Linked DNA regions of Solanum lycopersicum. The protein of the gene in region 2 binds, or shares a complex with, the protein of the main gene of each other region. Links are inferred from orthologs where the notes say so. Each region holds a gene or a part of one and is shown on either strand. Other genes may lie near its edges. The genes, in order: transcription initiation factor TFIID subunit 10, transcription initiation factor TFIID subunit 15b and transcription initiation factor TFIID subunit 11.

Evidence for each region.
Region 1: transcription initiation factor TFIID subunit 15b (region 2) and transcription initiation factor TFIID subunit 10 share a complex: the UniProt entries of both Arabidopsis thaliana proteins name them as parts of the TFIID complex. The link is inferred for Solanum lycopersicum from reciprocal best matches to the Arabidopsis thaliana genes TAF15b and TAFII15.
Region 3: transcription initiation factor TFIID subunit 15b (region 2) and transcription initiation factor TFIID subunit 11 share a complex: the UniProt entries of both Arabidopsis thaliana proteins name them as parts of the TFIID complex. The link is inferred for Solanum lycopersicum from reciprocal best matches to the Arabidopsis thaliana genes TAF15b and TAF11.

The regions. Positions count from the first base shown.
Region 1 is NC_090811.1:67,585,743-67,590,203, reverse strand, and holds the start of transcription initiation factor TFIID subunit 10, read left to right. Parts: upstream 1-1,813; 5' UTR 1,814-2,185; coding exon 2,186-2,284; intron 2,285-2,363; coding exon 2,364-2,428; intron 2,429-3,543; coding exon 3,544-3,606; intron 3,607-4,461. Other genes in the region: protein GLUTAMINE DUMPER 2, read left to right, coding at 335-793. UniProt on the Arabidopsis thaliana protein: TAFs are components of the transcription factor IID (TFIID) complex that is essential for mediating regulation of RNA polymerase transcription.
Region 2 is NC_090805.1:50,535,298-50,539,758, reverse strand, and holds the start of transcription initiation factor TFIID subunit 15b, read right to left. Parts: upstream 2,881-4,461; 5' UTR 2,647-2,880; coding exon 2,439-2,646; intron 2,368-2,438; coding exon 2,136-2,367; intron 1,378-2,135; coding exon 723-1,377; intron 450-722; coding exon 299-449; intron 216-298; coding exon 134-215; intron 1-133. UniProt on the Arabidopsis thaliana protein: TAFs are components of the transcription factor IID (TFIID) complex that is essential for mediating regulation of RNA polymerase transcription.
Region 3 is NC_090804.1:5,055,427-5,058,901, forward strand, and holds the end of transcription initiation factor TFIID subunit 11, read right to left. Parts: intron 3,094-3,475; coding exon 2,994-3,093; intron 2,231-2,993; coding exon 2,103-2,230; 3' UTR 2,070-2,102; exon of another isoform or gene 1,741-2,069; intron 1,459-1,740; 3' UTR 880-1,458; downstream 1-879. UniProt on the Arabidopsis thaliana protein: TAFs are components of the transcription factor IID (TFIID) complex that is essential for mediating regulation of RNA polymerase transcription.

The DNA.
Region 1 (4,461 bases), on a different chromosome or scaffold from region 2:
TTTTACATCACAATGATATGCAAAAAAGAAAATTTGAAATTTATAATAATTTTGGTAAATTTTTTTCTTCTCATTAAATTTTATGATTCCCTATTGATCACTTCACCCTTCTTTTTAACTTACTTTTTCTCTTTTCACTATTCATCCACTAAATTTGTTTCATATAAATACACACATATACCATCTTTGCATTTCTCAAGCCAAGCTAAGTTTTATTTTTCTTATTTTCTTTGTTCTAAAAGTTTAATATTCGTTTCGCTCGCAAAAAATTTAATAAATTTTTCTATCGAAAAAATAAAATATTAGACATTTCATCTTCGAAAATAAAATAAAAATGCGAACAGTAAGTACCTTTACTACTGCTTCTCCATCAGTCTCTCCATCGGCGATTGTTCAAAAATCGCCATGGCATTCGCCGGCGCCGTATCTATTCGCCGGCGTAGCGTCCATGCTAGTGTTAATAACTTTTGCTTTAGTAATCCTAGCTTGTTCTTACTGGAGACGATCCGGCTATCCGAGAGAAAACGGCGATGTAGAATCCGGCGACGGCGAGAAATCGACCGGTGATGTTTTCAAGGCGTCGCCGGTTTTTGAGGAGAAAATAGTTGTGATAATGGCTGGAGATTTGAATCCAACTTTTTTGGCTACGCCTATTTCGAGTAGAGGTAATTCGTTTGGTGCTGGTGATAAAATTGAGAAGAAATTGGAAAAGGAAACTGAAGAATTTGATGATGAGAAGGCGAAAGATGAAGCTATGGATCAAGCTCATGAAGAATCTCAAATCGGCCATTGATGAAGCTACTGAGCTTTGAAAAAAAAAAAACAGAGCAATTTTCTCTATTTTTTTTTTTGAGTTCTTCCATTTTTGGTTTAATTTTTCAATTTTGAGATTCGGGAAATTGTACTCAATTTTGGTTGAGATAACAAAGAGTTAGAAAAAATTTTCGTTTTCGAGTAATATGTTTTCACGGAAATTGTTACTTCGATTTGATACGTGTTTTATTAGCTAACGATAATCATAAGAGTCATTTTGCTAAAAAATAAATAGATCGTTTTTAAATTTTTCAATGAAAAAAGTAAAATTGATGATATATTTTTAATATAATGAATGAAAAGAGTAGAATCAATTATATATCGATTTAGAAAATGAATTATTTGAAGAATCTCGAATGTATGTGCATATGTGACGTTTGCGATTTTATATCTATTGTGATTTACTAATTATATTTGATAATTTATAGTAATTAAATATGATTTAAAAATCATGCTTATTCATGCAATTTATAGGTCGTATCTATCGAATATGATATATAGTTAATCTATAAATTGAGTTACTATTAATATGTAATTTATAAATTATATTTATCTAATATAACTTTCAAATGATGCAAATCAAATGTGATATTAGTCATATTTGTGAAACATGATTTATAATCGTGCTTACCAAATCATTCAAGTACCAATTAAGTTACTCAATTGTATTGTAATTAAATTAGTTATCAAATAATATCCAAATTGTTTACTCAATAATAATATAATTCATTTTAATCTTCTATGATAGAGAAGAATAAAATGGCTAACATAAGTGATTATGAGTGTGTGTATATATATATATATATATACTTCAATGTAAATTTTAATTGCGTTTGGTTTGATAGAGAATAAAATAATTTAATTATATTTTTATTTTATAATTTTTTTAAATGTTATGAACTATCAAATTTAAAAAATAAAATAAAATATAATTTTTTTTTTTACGAAATATTATCGTTAGCTAGGTAAATATATATGCCCCTCTTCGCGAACGAATTTCACATAACAAAAATACAATTCTCCTCTATCTTAGGCCTTTTCTCATTTTTTTTCTTTTTTGCACAATTGTGGAGAAACAATTTTGAATTTTAAAAAATAATCAAAATTATAATATTTCTATATCCTAGAAGGAAAATAATATTACTTTTTCAATATGTGAGTTTAAAAATAATTTTTATATATATTTTTAAATATTTTAAATTATCGTAACCATAGTAATTTTACTTACCTATTACTAGAATATTTTTCTTCAGTTTCTTCTTCCGATTTTTTTCTCAAAGTAAAAAGGCACAAATCTTCCCCAATTTTCCTCCGGCGAAATTGAAACTCCGACCACCGCCGATCCTCCGTTGACTCTGTTTCGACGGTGAAGATGAACCAAAGTCAAGGTCAACAAACAAGTGAAGGAAGACACGAGGATGATGCTGTTCTAGCCGATTTCCTTGCTTCCTTGATGGACTATACTCCCACTGTGAGCTACTTTTTGCCCTTTTTCTTACTGAAGAGATCAATTTTATGTTTTATTTATGTAGGTTAACGCTTTTGATCAGATTCCTGATGAATTGGTGGAGCATTACTTGGGTAAAAGTGGATTTCAATGTCCTGATGTTCGATTGTATGTATTTTCTTCCCATTCTTATGTTGATGTTTCTGCAATTTAGCCTGCTTAGATTAGTTATAGAAAAATTGTTTGGATTGCTCATAAGGAAGATATGATTTTCGTGTGTTTATCTAGAACTATTTTCACTAGGTTTATCCTCTGTCTTGAGCTAACCGTAGTCTTTAAACTCGAATACGATGAACGCGCTCCTCAACCTACGTTTATTTTGCTTGGCGTAGCGAAAGCTCTACACTTTTGCCAAGTGAGCTAAGCCCTGGGGGTTCAAAGGGAGATATTATGTTACTGCAGCAAACAAATAAATTGGGCAAAGGTGCCCATATAATGATGTAAAATCCAGCTTGGGAGGATGTCCTCCCAAGATATTTCCTTCAACGAAGTAATAGAAAACTTAGCTGAATTATGTGCTAGTTTTGTTTAGACTTCTCGGAATATGAACAAAGTCTACATGATCAAGCAAGCTCTTAGCTTCCAAATGTCTTCACAAGTCACCTCTATCTCCCATGAGGTAGTTAACTTTTTCCTGAATCATAATCAATAACACTCTTTGCTTCCAATAGGATTCTCACATCCTTCCAATTGTTCCTGATTGTACGTTCAAGAGCCACTCTTAAAGCAAGTGCTTCAACAGTCATAGCTTTTCCCGCAAACTGGATTGGGGAAACATGGGCATGAATCAGTTTTCCAAGGCTTTCCAGAGCTGCAACACCAATATTTGCCAGTCCAGTATCCACCTGTAAACCTGCATCAGTAAACAATAATATAACATCTTGGTGGGTTGTTGGTGGAGCCGCAAGGCAATACCCATTTTTATGAAAATTAGATGAGCAATTAGCTGAATATCTTTATACTCGTAGCAATCAAACAGTGACTAAGCGGCAGTATTCTCTAGTTCCGTTTTTGTTTTGATCGTTTTCTATTTATCTGGTTTAGCAGTAAATTCAAGTAAAATTTATATATCTGTGAATTGGATTGGTATTTACCTTTTTACAAGTTGTAAATTTTAATATTGTAGCATTTGATGTTTTGTTTGACAGTGATGGCTGGTTTATCTTATGTTATCAGTTTTTAATACTGTGTTGTTGTATTGAGTTTTTCCTTTGGATATGCAGAATAAGGTTGGTGGCAGTTGCTACTCAGAAGTTTATTGCAGATGTGGCTACTGATGCTCTCCAGTATGTTTCTTAATTATTTTATTTTTCTTGAATTCTGTTTCCTCCTCCATCTTATGTTAAGTATGCTGCTAATTCTTCGGCATATTGCTCATCGATTGTCCCCTACTCTTGAGGCTTCAATGCAATTGTTGCCTGTCTAGGTGTTTGTCATTGTATGATCCTTCCAACTTTTAAGTGTTCAAGTTGTTCTCCTCCCCCAAACCTTAAAAAAACTCTTTTTGGTTCGTCTCTAATGAATTAGAAACATTAAGTTGGTAATTTTAGAATCCAAGCCTGTTATATTTTTAAAGACTGCCGACCCTAACTTGACTACACTACCAAAAATACAACACCTGAAATTCTCTATTGTTAGCGCAATAATACTACTACCTCAGGAGATTATTGTGTCTGTGACACTCCAAAACCTTAGAAAAGAGACAAAGAAACAGAAAAATACAATATAAAGAAACTAAGATATGACTTGAGTAGACATGTAGAAAGACCTTGTTTCAGAATATATGATTACAAATAACAAAGCATCCAACTTTCTCTGAACTTCCTTTCTTAATGTTTCCAATGGATTGTTATTTTCCTAATGCTTCTACTGGATTGTGGTAGATCTTCTCAACTGTGACAAATCAGTTGTGTTTTGTTTCGTTATCGACTCAAGATTTTGTGAATGCCTCACTTTACTCACTATTTTGCCTTCACTAGTCGTAATGAAAGTAAAACTCATGAAATGCTGTGAGTCTTTTGAGGATAGATTATGGCTTTATCATCGGAAGAAAGAATAAGAGTTTATGAATGGTCTCTTATGTATCCTTCATGTTTAGAAAGAAATGGATATTTATGAAACGGGCCATTCCAATAGAGAAA
Region 2 (4,461 bases):
GCTAACTCTGCATACATTCCACAGCATAACCACTAAGACATGTTGTGAGTTGACATAAACTGTGAATTGTAGCACAACTGGAGGTAAAATGCAATGGAGTAGAAAGAGTATGCAGTAATTTAAGAAGGCTCACCCAGAACCAAATGCCGGAGGCGGCTTTGGTGCAGACTTTTCAGCCATCGCTACAGTGATTTTGTAACCTCTGAAGTCGTGATCTGATGATGATTATATTTTATGGTCAGCATGTAAATAATATACTGCGTAAACTCAATTGAATAAATTTGGGTCTAGTTTGTACTATTGAAAAAGCCGCCGGCAGAGTGAGCTGCAGAAGGATCTTCGTATGACAGAACTGCATCTCCTTTGTTATTTCCTTGATCGTCTGTGTATAGCTTTATGCTCCAAGGCCACTGGTCTTTGTAACCTCGTTTTTGCTTGATTCTTGCAACCTACACGTTAAAAAGAAACTTAAGCACTTACCCTGGTATATATGCTAAGAGAAAGTCATTAAAAGTAAGCTTCTTTATTGTCACAATTCAATGGCAATTAGTCTGCAAAATCAAGTAGCAAGTATTGGGTTGTCCTTCTGTCTAAGCTCAGGCATCAATACCACATTAACACAGCAAGGGTTCACGTGAAGTTAAGAGAAGAACAACGTAAATGCTACAAGACAGAATGAATCTGATACTGAGAATCATAACCGAAAGAAATCTGCATATTACTTGTCCAATGCTCCCAAAAAGTTCTCTAAGTTCTTCGACGGTCACATCAGGAGGCAAATTTGAGATATATATTCTTGCGTTGTCACAGAGATCTCCACAATTCTCATCGCATTGCTTGACCTTTACCGGAGCCTCAGCTGGAGAACTACCATAACCACCTCCTGTATTCCGGGCACCACCGCCATATCCCCCATCATATCCACCTGGTGGACCACCCCGTCCACCCCCACGAGCATCAGCTGGTGTATCCCCACCATAGCCACCAGGGGCACCATACGAAGGGGGATAAGATGCAGGTCCACCAACATAACTCGCAGGCGGGGGAACTGCATCGGGGTTTCCACCGTAAGTATTAGAAGGTGGTGGATAGTTGCTATCAGCAGCCCCATAAGATGGAGGAGCATGAGGAGGACCTTGGGCATAACCACCACCATCTCTTCCCTGACTACCACCATAAGAACCAGTTCTACCACCTCCAGCATTTCTGCTTTCATAGTTGTCACCTCTTCCCCCTCGACTATTTCCATAGCCGCCATCACTTCCACCTCTGTTATAACTGCTACCACCTCTGCCACCACGATCATCAGAACCAGCAGGTGAAGGTGCACCACATTTGTTACATTCAACTCTTCTAGCAAAGTTCAAATTTCCACAACTACACCCAGACATGCCAGAATTAATAACAATTGACATGAAATGGTAACAAACACAATAACATATGTTAAATGAAATATTAGCAAATGAAACCCAGAATACATAACCTTGAACAACCACCGCACTGAACTGACATCTTGTCAAATTAATAGGATAGAAGCACTATTAAAATTAGAATGACAAAGGCAAGGAGAATCAAAATAAATTTCTTTCTTTATGAAAAAAAAGAGTACTAATAAAATAACTAAGCATCCAGGGATGCAAGATGTACAGAAGTAGGAAGAGCAAGCTTTAGAAAGAGCAGAAATAGAACCTTACATAATACAAGAGAGTTGACAAAATCCAAGAATTGTTCAGGGTTATACAGAGGTGTAAGGTTAACCCAACTAAAAATTAAAACTAAGCATAAATTCTTAGTGAACCTGCATAAGGAAACACTGGTTATATTGAGCAAAGTGGCTGGACAATTTGGTAGTAGGATTTCATACAAGTAATGAAATAGGACATCATATATTTCTAGTGACAGGATATCATGATTTTCCAAAAATTAACCTCTGTTTTATCTGAAAGAGTTTGCACAAACTATCGCTGCCTCACTATCAATTGGATTAGGTTCAAGAGTAAAAGCAAATATAATCCTTTTTTGCTCATATGGAATTAAGTAGGAGTCTCACAAATTTTAAGGGAATTAGGGGGAGAAGTGAGTAAGGATAATTTAACATGACCTGAAAAACCACGAGAAGGATGTGAGAATATTACCTTGGGTTAGGGCAACGCCAATCACCTTCCTTACCACTTCCTCCACCACGACCGCCGCCGCGACCTCCGCGATCTCCTCCTTGGTATCCACCACTACCTCCACGATCTCCTCCTTGGTATCCACCGCCACCGCCACGATCTCCTCCTTGGTATCCACCGCCACCTCCACGATCTCCTCCTTGGTATCCACCGCTACCTCCACGATCTCCTCCATGGTATCCACCTCCACCTCCTGTAAATAGAACCACATGTGAATAAAACTCATTCAAAGTACAGACATAGTGTAATAATTCAAATAGATACCTCGATTATGGGAGCTACCACCATAGCCTCCACCTCCACCTCCTCGACCTCCGCCACCTCTACCGCCGCCACCGTATGATCCGCCACTGCCTCCGTAACCACCACCTGAACCACCATATCCTCCGCCACCCGATCCATACCCACCGCCTCCTCCGCCACTTGGTGGCGGAGCAGATCCGCCGCTTTCGTAACCGTACGTACCGGCCATCGACTGCACTAGCTAGGGTTTATGAATGAGAGAAGAAAAGATAAAGTAAAATACTATATGGGGATAGAAGGGTCAACTTTTATATGCCGATTACACAAGATATTTTTCCTTATTAAATCTTTGTCCACTTCTCCAGCAAATAATCACCTACCTTGATTTGGAGCCAAGTTATTAAATATAAATAAATTATGCTTTATTAATAATTTTATATAAGTTGTATCATGTTGGGTAATTGAGAAGGAGGTGAGATGTCAGGTATAAAAATAGAAAAACTTGTATACAATATCAAATTATTAATTCAAATTAAATGTTATAAATATATTTTGATTTAATTGTATTATTTAACAAATTATTGTTATTTTCACCACTTTTCTTGGTGTAATCTCGTTCGCCACTCTCGTTTGGTGGCGATCTCACTCTCCTCTCTCATTTTTTATACAAAAACAAATGTATAAAATGTTTTTGTGTTTGTATAAGGCGAGAGAAAATTGTATAAATATATATATTTTCGTTCTCCTCTTTCCCCTCTTCCAGATCTCGATCGCCACTCTTCCGAATCCGCTCGCCTCTCTCGCTTATACAAACGAAAACAAAATGTATAAGTTGTGATTTTGTTTGTATAAAGCGAGAGAAAAATTATATATACACATGTAAATACATATATTTCTTCGTCCTATACACTTATAGTTATACAATACAAATATTTCTCTGCCCAATTTTCTTTTGCTTTTTTCTCTTTCTCGTTTTATGCATACACAGATTATACAAATCTTTTGTATACAACTATTTTTTTTATATGTATGATGAATTGGACAACTGTTTTTTTTTGTATATATAGCTATTTTTTATATATATATACATGTTTATATTTGCTATGGAGCGTAATTATACAAACTTTGTTATAGCATACAAGTATGAATTTTGTGGTTGTTATATGTGAAAGTTGCTCATAAAAATAATATAAAATGTAATTAAAATTTTAACAATTCATATAATTAATATATGTATGCATAACTAAACACTTACATTTCTTATAATTATTATCTGCCTAATTTTAATTAACTAAAAAACAAACCTTACATATTTCTTTTAATTATTAAATAAAGTAGATTATAAAAGGGGATAAAAATTGCAAGAAATTAAGTTAATTTGGTAGGCAAAAATACTTTAAACCCCTACCGCAAAACTTGTTCCGTTAACACTCCCTTGATATGTAAATTGTAATTGAAGGGAGTAATCGATGAGATAATCAATTCTATTAGGAAAAATGATAAAAATCGCTTTTTTAAAATCATTTATTATCGCTATTTCCTATTAGTTTTAAAAATATTTTAAATTTTTTATTTTTAAATTAAATAAGACGGATATAAAAATCTGACAAAAATAGAGATGGATACAAAAATGTGACAAAAAATGAGGCGATACAAAAATTGTGACAAAAAATGAGGCGGATACAAAAATGTGAAAAAATATATAAATATCCATCACCTTTTTATTGTATCAGCCCTATTATGTATCCGTATTTTTGTATATTTTTGAGGAATTTTGGTCATTAAAAATTTATAAGGAACAAACGGGCATTTAGCCTAAAAGTATGTTATTTATGTCATTTGCCCATTCTATTAATATGTGATATGTTGGGAATATAATTAATATAAGGGATTGTGTCAAATTACATTTTAAATTCTAGCAAAATGTGATCGTGATATGTTATGAATATAACTAATAAGAGAGATTCGTATGAAAATATATCAAATTATATTGAATTATCATATTATATATATATATATATATATATATATATATATATATATA
Region 3 (3,475 bases), on a different chromosome or scaffold from region 2:
TTTCACATATAACAAATTTTCTTAATTTTATGTGATGACAAACTTTTCAAAATTGCTTTCCGAAGTAAAATTGTAGTTTGTTATGGATGAATCGTTGTTTGATGAATTGTATAATAAGTATATTTATACAATGCAGAAGAAATTGTATAAAGTAAAGAGAAAGGAAAAAACATTTATTTGTTAATTACCGATGAATCGTTGTTTGGTGAATCGTATAATTACTATATTTATGCAGTGCAGAAGAAATTGTATAAAGTAAAGAAAAAAGAGAAAACATGTATACTTATATTCGTCCTTAGTTTGGATGTATGATTCAATATATATACATTATACAAACATACTTCAATTTATGTATGTGTATAAGTTTGTGCTATAGTATATGTCTAAATGAACATTATACAAAAGTATCCTTATACAAATGCAAAAAATTAAACAAATCAATTGTATAATTTGTGTATGTATAAAACAAGAAAGAGAATAAGACAATAGAAAATTGGGCAGAAAAATATTTGCATTGTATAATTATAAGTTTATAGGATGAAGATATATGTATTTGTATGTATATATACAATTTTCTCTCGCTTTATACAATTTTCGCTCTATTGTATAAAGCGAGAGCGGCGAGCGACTGGGAGCGAACAATAGAGGTAGAGTGGCGAGCGAGAATATGAGGGAGAGAGGCGACTGACAAACCGTTTGCTATGGAATACAAATAAATCAAACGGTAGCTACTATATTTATTTTACGTTATTAGTTTGTCATTTTATACTATTATCCTTTTAATGTATACACTTAACAAATGATTGATTTTTTCAATATCCAAGTGTGTTTGGTAGGAAAGGAAAATATTTTTAGCCGAAAATGATTTTCTAAAAAATGTTTTCTCAGCAATCAAGTAGATTTCTTATTTATTTTCTTATGTTTGGTAAGTTAAGCAGGAAAACATTATTCCAATACTATTTATATGATATCTAACAAAACGAAAGGGGGTTGGAAAGTGGGGGTTCGGGGTAACGGGGTTTGGGATGATCCGGAACGGGTCGGGGGAATTAAGTAGGTGGAAAAGAGACAATAAACTTGGAATGCCACTTAACTCGATCTGTTTTTTCCAAACATTTTCTACTATTTTCATAATTTCATGTATCCTAAGTATGCCCTTCTGGAAAAAGGGAAAAATGATGGCAACAGCTGAAACTCAATGTACCAACACCAAAAACTACACAGTTAAGAAACAATTTGTTCAGGATCTTCGTCCTGCCAATCCTTTCGTCAAGGTGAGAGCTCTCTTCCCACCATGGCTGATGCCCCTCGAAATTTACTTCTTTAATGGAACCCCAACATTTCAAAGAGAAGCTAAAGCCTCACCTTGTAAAGGTACACCTCATGAATCTTTTCGTCCAAGATTTACAAGTTCATCCTTACGCCTTTCTGCGAGGAAAGTGGCTGACTACTACAAATCTGAGAGAATGGAGAACAAGGGATGAGAAACATTGTAAAAACTTAAGAGCGTGAACAAATGATTTTGAAAATGAACGACAACGTCCACAGTTAGAATTAAAGAGAAGAACAATCAAACTGATCTGAATTATCTTTTGGTTTCTTTTCTACTTGATAAAGTTTAGGACCGTTGTGATGCCTCCTCCACACAACATGGTGAAGAAGCATTGTTGTCCCGTCACTCCAATTTTCTCTTTCATCCAAGTGCATTGAGAAATTCACAACATGGTCAACAAACTCGACCATGGTCACAATGATGATTTGCCCAAAAATACAATGATGCTGTTATTTTAGCCAAGATGTTGCAATCTTAGTGTTCTCCTTCCATCATTTTCAGTTCCAGGTTACGGGCAGTACAAATATTTTCACAAATGTTAAACTCCTTCCCTCTAATTAAGTAATTTAATTAACAGATTAACCCCATATATAATAGGCAATGCAAAAGTGTCCTAACTCGACAACTTTGTGACTAGCAATGTTTACTTGACCTGGAAGTGCAAGATAATTAAGGATTTGCGACAATTCAACATAGACACATTAGAGGACTTGTAAGCAATAGGAAGACAATGAACCTGAAATATAACTACAGGTTGCTTCCACGTTCACTACCGGAAAAGCCTTGGCACTGATTTTTTTGGAATCTTGCCTTCAAGTTTTAACCTTCTATATGCTTCTCTTATGTGGCATGGCCTGATTGGGCCAGTATCTTTTCTCTCTGCCATCACCATTTTAGCTGCAAAAGGTATTGTAAGATGAGTGAGCACCATTACTTGGAGAAAATCAATGCAGTATAGCCCTTCAACTTTATTTAACTGAGGACACTTCCACCTTGAAACACTAAAGATTGGCAACTCTTTACTGCATAATTAGACTGGAAATTGGTTAAACGTGTTCACCTAGGTTTACGAAATATTCAGTTGATTCTATCGATCTTTTGAAGAAGGGAAAGGAAAAGCAGAGAAACAATGTGACAGTGAGCTTTTACAGGTAGAGGGTAACAGAGACCACTAGGAACAAAGGAGGGCAGTGCCTGGGCCAACACTGAGGCAGGAGAGTCATTTTATTGTTCTTGCTAAAAAGTCCTATGTTTTCCCTAGTTATAGTGCCAAACATCCTTAACCAGTCAGACACGTCAAATGCAATTTCAGACACATTGGCGGGTGCTTACTTAGCATAGGTACGATGTGTGAGTACATAGAAGACATTTTAGAGCCACTCTTTTGTTACTTTAAAGGGGTAAAGTGTTCCAAATGAATGTTAACCAACATGCTCAGTAACGGATAATATTACTGGTCTTGGGCTTTTAATGCCTCATTGTTGCAAATTGGTCAGAAACTGATTATAGTTTGGCAAATATTTTGGAGCTGTGCACTAGTGTCTAAGAATAGAACGAAAATAAGATCATTCCAACGACAAGTCATCCTTGCTATTCCCAAATAAAGGATAAACGTTTGCTTCATCAATTATCTCTATAACAAGTGGATCTGTCTATTTACCTGTTTCAATAAGCTCACCGACAAACATTTTTGCTATCCCAGACACCACAATTGTCATAGGAATAGATATCTTTGCACTTCCTGTGATGTTGGTCAGCAACTGCATCGACAACACACAAGAGTCACGACAAAAAATAAATTATGCACAATAAATGATCAGACTGGAAAAGCAAATATCTCAATGGCCCTAAGGCTTGCACAAGATCCTCACATATTCACAAAGATTTGGCTTCATTCTCAATCATCTGACAGTTACGCGTCTATTGAGAAAATGAATTCTAACATTACATGTGTGCAATGAAAGACAAAAAGAATGTGCTTCAATAGGCTAATGTTAGGGATTGGTCCAATATCACGTAACAAGGCCATCTCAAGTCAAACAACAACAATATACCCAATCTGGGAAAGCAAGAACTGAAAATTACAAACCAAAACTTTAAAACTATACAAAAGAAAATGAAACCCCACCACAGCATTTCTCA